Caenorhabditis elegans: one gene and its partners. The protein of the gene in region 2 interacts with the protein of the main gene of each other region in a pairwise test. Each region holds a gene or a part of one and is shown on either strand. Other genes may lie near its edges.

Evidence for each region. The genes of interacting proteins can lie anywhere in the genome.
Region 1: the proteins of mpz-3 (region 2) and srd-49 interact in a two-hybrid assay, tested with the Caenorhabditis elegans proteins (one large-scale study listed by BioGRID).
Region 3: the proteins of mpz-3 (region 2) and zzz-1 interact in a two-hybrid assay, tested with the Caenorhabditis elegans proteins (one large-scale study listed by BioGRID).

The regions. Positions count from the first base shown.
Region 1 is NC_003283.11:10,092,760-10,096,965, reverse strand, and holds srd-49 (G-protein coupled receptors family 1 profile domain-containing protein), read right to left. Parts: upstream 2,293-4,206; 5' UTR 2,247-2,292; coding exon 1,950-2,246; intron 1,610-1,949; coding exon 1,278-1,609; intron 1,235-1,277; coding exon 1,080-1,234; intron 1,034-1,079; coding exon 931-1,033; intron 782-930; coding exon 655-781; 3' UTR 635-654; downstream 1-634. Other genes in the region: Putative UDP-glucuronosyltransferase ugt-47, read left to right, coding at 120-634.
Region 2 is NC_003280.10:6,563,254-6,567,269, forward strand, and holds mpz-3 (PDZ domain-containing protein), read right to left. Parts: upstream 2,144-4,016; 5' UTR 2,098-2,143; intron 2,068-2,097; exon of another isoform or gene 1,995-2,067; intron 1,901-1,994; coding exon 1,802-1,900; intron 1,619-1,801; coding exon 1,538-1,618; intron 1,489-1,537; coding exon 1,294-1,488; intron 1,250-1,293; coding exon 1,115-1,249; intron 1,066-1,114; coding exon 865-1,065; intron 797-864; coding exon 581-796; 3' UTR 541-580; downstream 1-540. Other genes in the region: F18C5.5 (Vegetative cell wall protein gp1-like), read right to left, coding at 2,291-2,414, 2,464-2,907, 2,949-3,015, 3,375-3,408; dbd-6 (DB domain-containing protein), read left to right, coding at 3,881-3,921.
Region 3 is NC_003283.11:10,906,197-10,910,979, forward strand, and holds zzz-1 (G-protein coupled receptors family 1 profile domain-containing protein), read right to left. Parts: upstream 2,976-4,783; 5' UTR 2,943-2,975; coding exon 2,877-2,942; intron 2,237-2,876; coding exon 2,076-2,236; intron 2,029-2,075; coding exon 1,692-2,028; intron 1,643-1,691; coding exon 1,278-1,642; intron 1,227-1,277; coding exon 1,096-1,226; intron 893-1,095; coding exon 753-892; 3' UTR 564-752; downstream 1-563. Other genes in the region: F32D8.15 (Anti-sigma factor), read left to right, coding at 192-345, 392-441.

The DNA.
Region 1 (4,206 bases), on a different chromosome or scaffold from region 2:
TTGTATTATTGTGTTTGTATGAATCTTCCAAAAATCCATACAAAAAATTTAATCCGTTGAAATCTTGTGGGCTGGAAAAATCAAACTACATTAAAAGTCTGATAATCAAATACATTCAGATCATCCCCGCCTTCGTACTTTTATTACACATGCTGGTTACAATGGTCTTATGGAAGCAGCTCTTGCCGGTGTTCCATTAATTACGATTCCATTTATGTTTGATCAGAATCTAAACAGTCGAGCAATCGAGAAAAAAGGATGGGGAATTAGAAGAGACAAAAAACAATTCCTCACGGAGCCAAACGCCATTGAGGAAGCTATAAGAGAAATGCTCACAAATCCAAGTTATACGAAACAAGCACATCGAGTACGTGACTTGATGAGAAACAAACCCATGGGAGCAAGAGACCGATTTATAAAAACAACTGAGTGGGTTATTCAGAATGGAGGAGTTCATGAATTGCTGACTGAAGGAAGAGATCTCAGTATCATCAAGTATTACAATTTAGATATCATTGTTCCATGTTTCTTTGTTGCTTTTTATTTCATAATTTTCCCATTTTTCAAACTCTTTGGAGGATTTTATTATTACAGTTGTTTTGGTCATATTGAATCAAAATACAAAAAAGATTAATGATTTAAATAAATATTTTATCACGTTTTTCTTGATACCGCCCGAACTGCAGAATACCCATTTCCTTTAGACATTATGTCATTGTCTGATAATTTTGATAAGCTGAACCTGCATTGGCGAACTGCGAGAAGATATTTGAAGAACATTCTGAAATTATTAAAGTTAGAAAAAATGTGCTCAAGTTGTCAAGTTTATTAAGAATATTCTCCAATTTTCAAAGAAAATACAAGCAAGTTACAGTAGTATAATATTTATTTAAAAATTGGAACTCATTGTTTTTAAATACAAAATCTTACCGCCTGAAAGGTATTACAAATACAATTGATAGAATTGGATCTATCAAAGTTGGGAGAATTACCAGAAATGAATTGAAGTACTCGAGTATTAACACACCAGCTTCTGAACATGAAAATCGCATTTTAAAAATAATTGTTGACTCGTTTACCCGAATATTGTGTGAGAAAGAATTGTACGACCAATGGTACAAAACAAATACTTGGAATTAAAGTTTGAATTGTCAATCCCGTGATCATACTCTTCGCATGTTTGATTCGTGGAGATTTGTATTCTTCGTATTCATTTAAAAGTCCCCATATCTTGCTGAAAGGATATTTCATAAACCTTTTTAGAATAATAAACTCACTTGCGATAGATAATTGCAGCTAGTGGGTTTAATACTAAAACAATTGTGAAAATAATAGTAGATGCTTTGACTGCAGGAGACGTCAACGCTGAAAACCCAAAAATTGAGTTTTGCTCAAAAATATACGACGGATGCAGAGCACGAGTTTCCAAAACAATTGCATTGTGCTGAGATGGATTTATAAATTGACAGATTGCACAGAATATAGCAGGTAGATGCACAATTATGAAGTTTCTCATTATTTGGACTGATGAAAGTTTTTGATGGGATAAGATTTTATACCGATAGTAGAATACATGAACAATTGCAAAAAGTGCAACCATTGAAGATGCCTGAAAATATTAAGAAATGATCTCTGTTAGGATGTGGCTGTAGACAAGAAATATGATTGAATGTCAAACTGAAATTTGAGCCTATTTCAAGAATAGTGTAGTTCATATTTTATGAGAATTTTTCCAGAAATTAAAAAATATTTTTCCATAAAAATAAACGTTAATAAAAAATACAATTAACTGATTTTAATTGGGCAAATAGTTAAAATTTTTAATATTTATATTTGGTCATTTTGGCTTTCGTTGTTGTATCTCAATTTCTTTGGAACAGAAATATTTCGCAAATGCTCTTACATGTTTTCTGAGTTTTCACTTAAAAATTCAATAAAATTCAACTCACATCTCTTAATAAATGCAGTAGAAAACACGAACGTCTTCCAACTCTGATGCATACACCTGTACATACAAATGCCACTGTTGTTTGATTTGGAATCATTCGACATTGCGTTAGAAATCCCGAAATTATAGTTACAACTTGGGCGGCACATATATTTAAAAGATAAATTCGCATTGTTCGTAAAAGTTTTGTTTGATTTTTGAATATGAGCAGAAGTAACAAAGCTTGTGAGAAGAGAACACTGATTGCAAAAATTGGATAGGCAACATTGATGAAGGCAAGTATGTCTACTTCTTTCATACTCTGTTTAATCTGAAATTAGAAATATTTTAGAGATGAAAATATAGAACAAGTAATGAGTATGTAATGACGAATATCTCGGATTACTAAATAGGTGGGAAATGTGGCGGGCATCGAAGGACACGTGAGTGTGGGAAAAATGGAAAATAAGACGAAAATGTTGTTAAATAAGGGACAGATGATGAAAACTGGAGTCATAAAACTTATATTTTATTGAAACTAGAAAAATTAAAAGGTGTGGCCATCGAGCAAAATCAAGATAATTCAAAAACATTTGCACAAAGTTCCCGCCTTCGCTTCGAAAAGTGTCATAAGAATGAAGTGGAAGCAAGTAGAGCGGAATGCAAAAAGCGGAAGTGCAGAGAGATCGAAATATGCAGGATTATTATGCGAGTAAGCTGAATTTCAAGTGTTCTATGGACAATTGAATTAGTGATATGTAGACGACTTCTGGTAACTTGTAAAATTTGCTAGCAGAGCATCAAAAAAACGTTCGCGAATTTAAGTAAAACGGCGCATTAGGTTGTCATAAACTCTAAGCTTCACATTCATATAAACTCTAAATCTAGCTAAAGTTTAATCCAAGAAAAAGTTTGAGTCCTGAGATTTGTTATGGCGAAAACAGAGAATGGACACTTGTTTTAATTTAATATCTGTTAATTTAAGTCAAACCAACTTCGAAGTCTCAGTACATCTCACCGGTACTTTCTTTGATAGACGAAACTATATCTGAAGGAAACGCATACGGAATGAGAGGATCGATGACGGCTAAAAATGGCTCCAAAGTATATACGATATATATATATATATATATATCGAAAGAAGATTTGAGCTACAATGTCGTTACGTTACAAAATTATTTTCACGAATTTTCAAAATTTCCCAAAAGCAGCGAATCGCGTGTCGTGATTACAACAAAAATGGGATTCCTCAAAATATGCCCAATAGCTGCTGAAAAGTCGCAGATGGCTGTTGGGATCGCATAAAACGGCTGAACGGTCGATTTGCAGGCAAACAGCTGACGAAAATTCAGTTTTTTCTGAGAAAAAGAGTTTTAGTGGCTTCTAACGGTAAGTTGATTGTTTCTTGCGTGAAACTTGCGTTAAACATAAAACAAACAAAACGTAAGATTTTGAACAAAATTAATTTCGAGCTGGAGGTCAATCGGATTAAAGACCGTTTGCTTTTTTTCAGCAGGAATTGAGCAGCTTTTCAATGTTCCCACTTTACCTGTAATAAACCTTCTCAAAAAATTCTAAATTTGATGTAATTGTGTAAACTCATTGCCGGATTTTTTGTTGATTTAGGCAGATCTCCGTCTTTTGATAACCAAACTTGATAACTTTCGGATGCATATAAATCGAAAATGTGCGAAAATCTACAAAAAGTGAAAAGTTCGAAATTAGCAATCAGAATATCTAAATCAGGCAAACAAAAATTAATTTCCGGCTTTTTAGTTTCGCGCAACTCACGCCCGCCTTTGCGCACCTTCCAGTCTTGTACCCCCTAAAAAACTAAATTATTCAAAACCAATTCAATTTTTATCTGCACTAAAAATACATAAGAATTAAAGTTTTCGTTTGTGAAAAGTCTCAATAATACGGTTGATAGGAGATGTTTGAATTGACGATAAAGATTGACATTAGACAGAAATACATGTGGGCTTGACAGCATTCCCTTGAAAAAGTTCGAATAAAAAGCAATCTTTTGTGCTCTATTGTTGAAATTTCCCCCCGCCGAGTAGAAAGTTCTCAAATTTAAAATAGACGCGGAAGAGTATTTCACTATTTCTGAAGTATCTCGTTTTCTTTAAAACTGAACCATAGAAAATATCTTGTTTTTTGTTGCAGTCTTTATGTTCAGATTTTATTTTAGATTTTATATAAGACCATCACAAGATTTGGACAAAATAAAACTACAAACAATTGACATGATTTGTTCAGACTGACGAATGGCAGAG
Region 2 (4,016 bases):
GACTAGGTTAAAATGGCCTATATCCCTCCGAATCAAGTGAAAATGAGAGCCAGTATGCATCCAGAAATGACAGATACACACTCTCATCCATTGCCTTTTTCCAATTCTCAGTCATATTTTGGCGAGTGAGAGCGGCGGGCGGACACGGACACGGACAACCAGACGCACAGAGTCGGTACCAAGCAGCACCGGCCGTCTCGTACGTCTCTCTGTCCGTGCACAGTGAGAGACAGGAAGAAAAACTAGTGGAAATAGTGAGTAGGACATAGAGACGCAGACGTTTGCTAGATGAACATTTGCAACTCTGTGAGACAACTAGGAGCAAGAAAAAACGGACGATGATGTGAGACTAGAAATGTTTCAAATAATGTGTAAAAGCTGTAGGTTTTAGATTCATGAGGGTTTCGAGGAGAAACCAATCTGGCATTCAACAATAAATAGAATTAGGCCTGCCTTTTTCAAATCACAGGTTGAAGGACCGTAAATATTTGTGTCTCTAGGCATAGGTTAGGGATGGATAGAACGGTAAACAACCAAACAAACACTTTTTGAAAACTTTATTTCGAACACTTTTCTCAAGTTAAGATCCCACACGTTTTGGAGTCATTTTCAGGGGCTTCGGAGACGGAATGTACGGGATGCGAACTTCTGGGGCAGGATCCGATGGCAAGGTGGCTGGAACTGGAGCAGGGGCTGATGCGGCGGTTGTTTTGATGATGCATGGAGGATTCTTGCACGGTTTCTTGTAGAAATCTTTGTTTGCCTTCATAATCTCCAAAACATCAGGAGGAAGAAGCTGCAAAGAAGAAAATAAAAACATGTTTTGGTAAATGAAATGATAAGAGGAAATGGGTTCAAACTGACCACATCAAACTGCTTGTTGGCTTTTCCTTGGGGTGGTTTTGGAGGAGGAAGCATCACTGAATTTCCAGATTTCTTCACTCCAGCAGGTGTGCTCTGTGCACCATCGGGAGGCGGTGGAGCAGGACCAAGTGGATCAGTAGTTGTGGATCTTTCCAATGTAAGACGGACCGTTTTTGTGTTGTTGACACTCGCGTAGAGAAGCTGAAAGTAAGTTAATTACTAAAATAAAATAAGAAAAATACTACAATACCTTTCTAGCAGAGTCACGATCAAGAACATAAATGTCATTAACTTTAACAAGAATATCTCCATCCTTGACATAGTGACACGCATTGGAAGCCGATTGAACCATTGAAATAGTCACAGTTTTTGGATCAACTGCCATCTGTAAATCATCCATGAAAGTATAAATTGTCCCTGATTACTAACTCTATGAATGATAATCCCTGTTGCAGCACCTCCACGATAAGTGAAAGTCAACTCAACCATTTGAGTATTTGGACGACGTGGTGGCATTGGTTTTTCAGTGACAAGGCAATGATCGTCTCGCATGAATTCAATTGTCACTTTTCCGGGAAGTTTTGCACTAATTGCACGGATAAAGTCAGCAGTTGTCTTGATGTTCTGGAAATGTTTGATTAGTTGAAACGGAAAATCTTAAAATATTCCTTACAGTTTCTCCATTGACATTCAGAATCTCATCACCAGCAAATAGAACACCCATCAGTTGGCTACTCACATCCACATATGTAATCTGCAATGTGATTATTCAAGATCTCTTCGATTTTTGAATTGAAAATGAGTCTTTTTACAGCCTCGAAGGAAATTGCAACCGGACTTCTTATTTATTAAAGAGTGTTCTACTGTTCTACACATCAGGGCTTTTGAAGTTTTATTCGGCTCTCGACGCGAGCCCTGTGTTGGATTCTTTATTTACCTTTCCATTGACCACATCACATGCTACAACCACATTTTTCCGTTCGAATTGTACTTCTTCTTTTCCTTTTACATGAAAACTATTGTTGTTGGTTGCCATCTGTAAATAGTACGTGTCTATCTCACAGCAACCCACTCTCGCGTCTCCTGTAACTAGTCGAGCGTCTATGCCTTTGGACCCAGCGCACTCGCTGGCCTCCTTAGCTCAGTTGGTAGAGCGTGAGACTTTTAATCTTAAGGTCAGGGGTTCGAGTCCCCTAGGTGGCTTGATTTTTTGCAGTCTGAATATTAACTTACCCCGAATAGATTGATGCGAAGATGAAAGCAACTGTCGACAAGGAAATATTTGAAACTGATTCAGTTTCTCTTTTCACTTTTTATTTTCTGATTTTTTTCTGTGTAAAACGAATTCAAACGATGTCACGCGGGTATATTTATTAAATTAATTAAATTATTTATTATTAATTAAAATTATTATATTTTGATGAGATCAATGGAATGGAACAATCCAATCAGCGTTGTCTTCTGCTTTTGTCACTTTCTTTTCACTTCCTCTTACAAACTTTGAAAGTCTTGAACGAATTGTATTCAGATCTTTGCTGTATGTTGGGGCGCTGAAATTAATTAATATTAGATTATTTTCTCCTGATTTGAGTAATTCACCTATGAGCTCTAGCTTCGGACGTTGTGTCATTATCAGATTCTTCAGTTTGAACAGTTTCCATAGCTTTTTCAGCTGGTTTCATAGTTGTAGTTGTGATTCCAAGAAGACGTTGGAAACTTGGTGGCATTGTCAATGCAGGCATTGTTGGCATTCCAGGAATTGGAGTGAAAGTTGGGAAAGTATGTGGAGCAAGAGTTGGAAGAGTTGGAAGGCCTTCTGCAGACAGGACTGGTACAGGTACTGGAATGAATTGTGGAAGTGGAAGAAGTGGTGGAAGAAGTGGAAGTGTCATTGGAAGTGGTTTAGCTGGAGCTCTTTTCACTGAACGATTAGCTTTTTGAGCTGGAAGTGTAACAACTGCTGGAGCACGTCGGATTCCTGTAGAAGCTGGACGAAGAGATTTAGCAAAAGGAGCATATGCCGATAATGATGGGAGGGGTGATCTGAAGAATAGATTAAAGAAAAAATGGAATAAATGTTAAACCTTCGAACATCTCCTCTCGGTCTTAAAGCACTTGCTCTCGGTACAACTTCATAACATGCAACGAATCCTGAAATGTTGAAATTAATTGAATTTTGAAGTCAAATATATTGATCAACTGAAAATTATATAGAAGCAATTTTTCTGGACTGGTTTTTTTTGCGATTTCGTGCAAGACGAAGAAAATATGAGAATCGAAATTTGGTTATTTATAGAACGTTTCAATTTATTGACGTACAAGCAGAATTCATATTGGGTAAAATTGTTATGACTAAGAAGTTTTGGATATGTCAAATAAATTAGTTATGTATTTTTCTTAATATTTTTTAAAACAAATTTGAACATATTTTAACCCAATTAGATAAATATTTCCTTTACCATTTAGAGCTAAATTTAGGGATAAATCAACGAAACAATCGAAAAACTAACCGATGACACAAACAGCTAACAGAAGAAGCTTCATTGTTGATTCTTTCCACAAAAATGAGAAGACGAAAAAGATAGAATAAGCCTCGAAGGCGTCGCTTCTTATCACTTTTCTTCCTACGATTTCTCGTTTTGCCCTTATCAATTAGCCATCATTTTGTGGAAATCTCAATGAAAATTCCCGTTGAAAATGAAAAAAGACAATGGATATCCACCACTTGTACACTGTCTTCAATAAGATGAAAGTTCAGCTAACATTAGTTTTTACAAACAGGGATATATTGGATTATCGTGATATTGAACTTGCTAGATTTTTATTTAATTCTATGTTGTTCAGAACATTAGTGTTCGCTGTCAATTTTTAACATATACTTTGTAAAGTATCCCACTTGTGACATGGTTTTACAACAATGCTATGCAAATTTGAGGACACTCAAATAATGGGCGGGACATAGATGATACTCGAGGTGGTACTGTTATAATCGTACCATTTTTATTTTCGCAGTACAATGCGAACGTGCGTCTTCTTTTTCTGTCTACTATTCGTTATGTAAGTTTATATGAAAAAAGTTTTATTTTAAATTAAAACTTTGACACAATAAAAAGTTTCCGAAGCATCTAAAACATCTAGTGGAATCTAGATCA
Region 3 (4,783 bases), on a different chromosome or scaffold from region 2:
GAAGTCAAGTTTTTAAAAATAAAATAAATAAAAATCAATGTATTTTTTTGCCAATAAACTTTTTCTAATTTTATATTGTTCTAAAATTTATCATTTTAACTGGCAATTCTCATAAAATTCATAGATAGAGAAAATTAAAAAAATGTAGTTGAAGACTTCTCGAATCCAAAAATATTTGTTTTTTTTTTCAGTACCCGGCGGACCCAATTAATAAAACCGTCACCATTCATAAATCTCCAATCTTGTCACAAAAAGTCGAACGAGATCTTCTACCAATGGCTACAACTATCGAACAAAAAGTTGCAGAATCTAAACAAATTGATTTGGCTTCAATATTACAAGATGGTTCGTTATTTATCTTTTTTCACCTATTTGAATAATATTTATTTAGGTTTGAAATCAATGGAATCAAAAGAGAGAACAAGTTCGGACAATGGATGAATATAAAAATAGTCTAATACGATCTCAATAATTATTATTTTACCACCTCTTTCTTCTTTGTTACTGGTAATTCTCTTTCTCTCATTCTTTTTCTTTTAAAATACAATAAGATTTACATAAAGAAAATATTTTTATTATCATTGAAAACATTATTTGCTTGAATGATACATAATAGTCACAAAATTATAAAAAAAAACAAAAACCCGCGAGATTTGACAAAACGTTTTTAATATTATTGCACGTCAGTATTGAAAAAAGAAAATAAAAAATTGATTTCTCGATTGAAACCATAATCTTGATGAGCAAAAATATTAGACGAATTCAATTTTGGAGCTGATGCTTGGAGTTTCACCATCTGGTGTTGAAATTAATTGGGTTTTTGGAAGTTGAAGATCGTCCAGAAGAGACATTTTCTTGTCATTTTCAGAAAAACAGCAACACCACCAGTCACCTGAAATTGAATAAATGAAAAGATTTTCAAGCTGATTTTCGGACAGTCACAGTAGAAAATCGGACTATTAAAGATCATGTCGAGAACAGAAATATATTGCTATCAATATACATAGATAGAGATAGTTTATTGTTTTAAAATAAAAATAGGCACATTATCATTATTTTCAAAGTGCCAATATAGTTTCAAATGATTTGGCTCACCTAGACACTGTCCCATTTCCTTTCTCAGTAGCGGTTGGAAATATGCATAAATTGGTAAACGAGCAGACGAAGCCACAATTGTCAAAAGGGAGATAACATCAACAGAAAGAACGTAGAATGCTATCCAATCTCTGAAATTAGAAATTTAATGGCTTCAAACGTAAATAAGTTGTGTTTCTTACTCGCTAAAAATGGACTCTTTATCTATATATTCCCAGATAGTAATGATGACTGACAACAGGTTGGACATCAGATATGTGCAAACGATGATAACGACAGATTTTGTAGTTGCACGAATTCGGGCTTTCTTCTCCTTCACATTCTGCTTATCATGATCAGCACATTTACTTTTCAAGACATGTTCGCGGAGTTGGAAAAGAAGAAGGCAGTTTACAAGAAGAAGTATGAAGAATGGTGCAAGGATTGTGAAAATGTTACGGAAGTAAAAACGCCAATATTCATTGATCTTTGGGAAATCAAATAGGAGTTGTGAGGGAACAACCGTCCAATAGTTCAGTTCTCCATAACATTCTGGATTGTAAGAAATCTGAAAATAGGTGAAATATTTTAACGCCGTCATTTCTAGTATAACTTACATCGACTTCCTTTACAATTGTTCCCTTGCTCACAACTCCACACATTATTGCAGTAAATGCAAGAAGAGGCCGAAATCTTTGAAGGTACGGTACAAAGAAATGATTGACTGTAATACAATATCGCTCAATTGATGCAAAGCAAATGAGAAAAGTTGAAGAAGTGATTCCGATGTGAGAAACAGTTAGCATTGGAATCATATAATGGACCCAAATAGATTTTAGAAATACGCTGGACGTGAAGTTCACAAGAATCCGAACTGACATCACGGCTATATAAGCAAATGCGATAAAGACGTCAAAAAGGGAAAGTAGCAAAAGGTACAGGTTTGGTGAACGTCTGAAAATTTAGAAATTAAACAAAACATTTTCCAAATTTAAACTAACCGGTGTTGCTTATTTGTGACAAAAACAAAGAATATAAATGTATTGAACACAATTGATATAATGGACACAGTCACTCCAGCAACGACACATAACCAGAATCGTTCCGTGATCAGATAGTCATCCGCCGCCGAGCACGGATTTGTGTAATCAGGTTGCATGATCTGGAAAAATATATTTTAAAAACATTTTTATTGTACGAAGGTTGTTCGAAGGTATGGTCCGTGGGGAGTTTTTATTGAAATAGTCCCTATAGCGCTAACGTGTTCAAAATTTGAAGAAAATTGTCGAAACGTTTCGAATTTTAAAAAATTGCAATCAATTCTGAACACTTTTTTTTGTGAAAACTTTTTTACAGTTTTTTTGTTTAAACGTTTAAAAAAACGCGAGAAACTTTATTTTGATAAATTTTATAAAAATTCAACAGAACGAACGATCGAGAAATTCTCTGGAATTTGTATTCACACTGTGAATGAAAAGCCGTGTGTTAAGTCATTTTTTGCATTCAAATAATTTCTTTTGAAATTTTTTCAATAATCCAGACCAACTCAAGCTTGTTTATACGTTTTTTTGGTTTTAGAACTACGAAAAAGTGATTCGGTGAAAGGAGCCATTTCAGCAAATTTCAAAGTAAGTCTCACATAATTGTGAGCTAGAGTAATTCCACAGATCTCAAAGTAGAGCCAAAAAAATGATGAAGGTGTCAACTAGGAACTTGATCATACTCCAGTTCATTAATCGTATTCAACAATATACATAATTGCGTTTATTTTCTAATTTCCTATTGTGTGTCTTCTTTCTTACCGTGCTGTCATAACTGGAAATATTTTCTGCTTGCGATTCTAACGCTGTCTGATTGCCGATGTCCATTACGAAGAACTCATACACAATGAATTCGATTACCTGAATTACTAAAAAAAATTACTGCGTTGAAAAACAAAATTTTCAGAGAGAATTAGGATACTGGAAATAGGAATCAAACGATTCACATGAGGTATGCTTTCAAAATGATGAAGGTTTTATACTGACTTTTTGAAGTGGCTTCCGTCAATCACAAAAACGAAATGTTGCCAAATCGAGCCAAAATCTCAAAGAGTGACTGGCACACCATTAGTGAAACATTGAAAAAAGTGGGAAAAGTTGGAAGAAAAGTTTGAGATTTTGAAGATAGCAATGGGAGATTGATTGAGAAATTGAAAAAGTTAAGAAGATGGTCACATTGGGATACTAGATATATGTTAGATTCTAAATTCCAATTCACATACTGATTTTCAAAAGGAATTTAAGAATGAGCTGAATAGATAACAAGAAAACCGCAGAAGAAGAATAAAAAATGACATCGATCAAACATCAGACATGCAACCAATTGAGTAAAAACAATCAAGAATTGAATACTGAATCGTCTTAGACGTTGTGGTGTTCTGTGAGTAATTTTTAAGAAGCTTAATGTTTAGGTCTTATAGACTAAATAATTAGGCTTGATACGTATTGTTGTTTAAAACTAATACCTTGGAGACTCGTGGTATCGGAGAATTAATTTATTGCTTATTAATTACTCCGTTTTTGCTTTTCAATCTGAAATACTTTCTGAACTCTGCGGAACTGATCCATTGCTGGTCAATCTATTGAAAGTTATGAAAATAGTCTTTAAACAAATATAAAAATAAAAGAAAACCTGGGTAAGAAATAATTTAATTAAGAATTCCAATTCTCATTGCCATTGGCTTTTGGAATCAGATTGAAGAAGAGCACACCCATCAAATGAAATCTGTGGGCAGACCGCAACCATCTTCTTTCTTTTTCTCATTGATGAGAAGAAATCATTCTAAATTGAAAAATGGATAGATAGGTCAAAAAGGCTCATCAATTATCGAAAAGTCGCACCTTTTGCTCAATCAACACCTCTATAGATGCCGCCTGACATCTTGATTTTCTTTTGATATTAAACTTTGACTGATCAAGAATTGTTCTCAAGGTCAAGGAGATTGATATCAGCTTTGAGATATCTCAGTCACTCAGTATCTCAGTCAGTTGGTTCAATATTCCATTGATTGTTATTTTTATCAAAGAAATCACGTTTGGTTCTTTTTTGTTAATTGTTGTAAAAATTTTTAATACAATTTGAGCATCGAAAAAAATTATTATTACATTACACATGTAATTTTCGTTGGTTTCGTTTTATGCGTTGCACATTTAATATAAAATTCGAGAACACAACCGTAGGGAGGGCAATTTTCGATTTACACGTTAGTTTTCGGGTCATTTGATCTAGAAGAAATATATTTTCAATAGATGCTGCATCTTCTCGACTTCTACGGTACCTCTTCGTATTTTGGAGCCCAAGAGAAAACGAACAACAGGATCACAATGAGGTCCTACTCGTCTGGCGCTCGTGGCGTTCGGTTTACCAGAAAACAAGTAAAATATTCACAGAAATTGGCTGACTAACACATAGAAATGAACATGAACACAAAAAGGTTTAGATGAGCAAATGATTTTTGATGTTTTCATAAGGGTTACTGTATTGTGAGGGCATTATGAGCTAAAGGATCAAGTGAAAAAGAAAATGGATAGGTGGAGCTTCGTTTCGTTTAATCTATTATGATTTATGCAAGTCAGAAGTAAAAAAGAAAAATAGGAGCAAAATATAAGCTCCGCCTAACTTCAAAGCCTTTTTTCTTGGGTGAACTTCAAAATAAAGAAAATTAAAG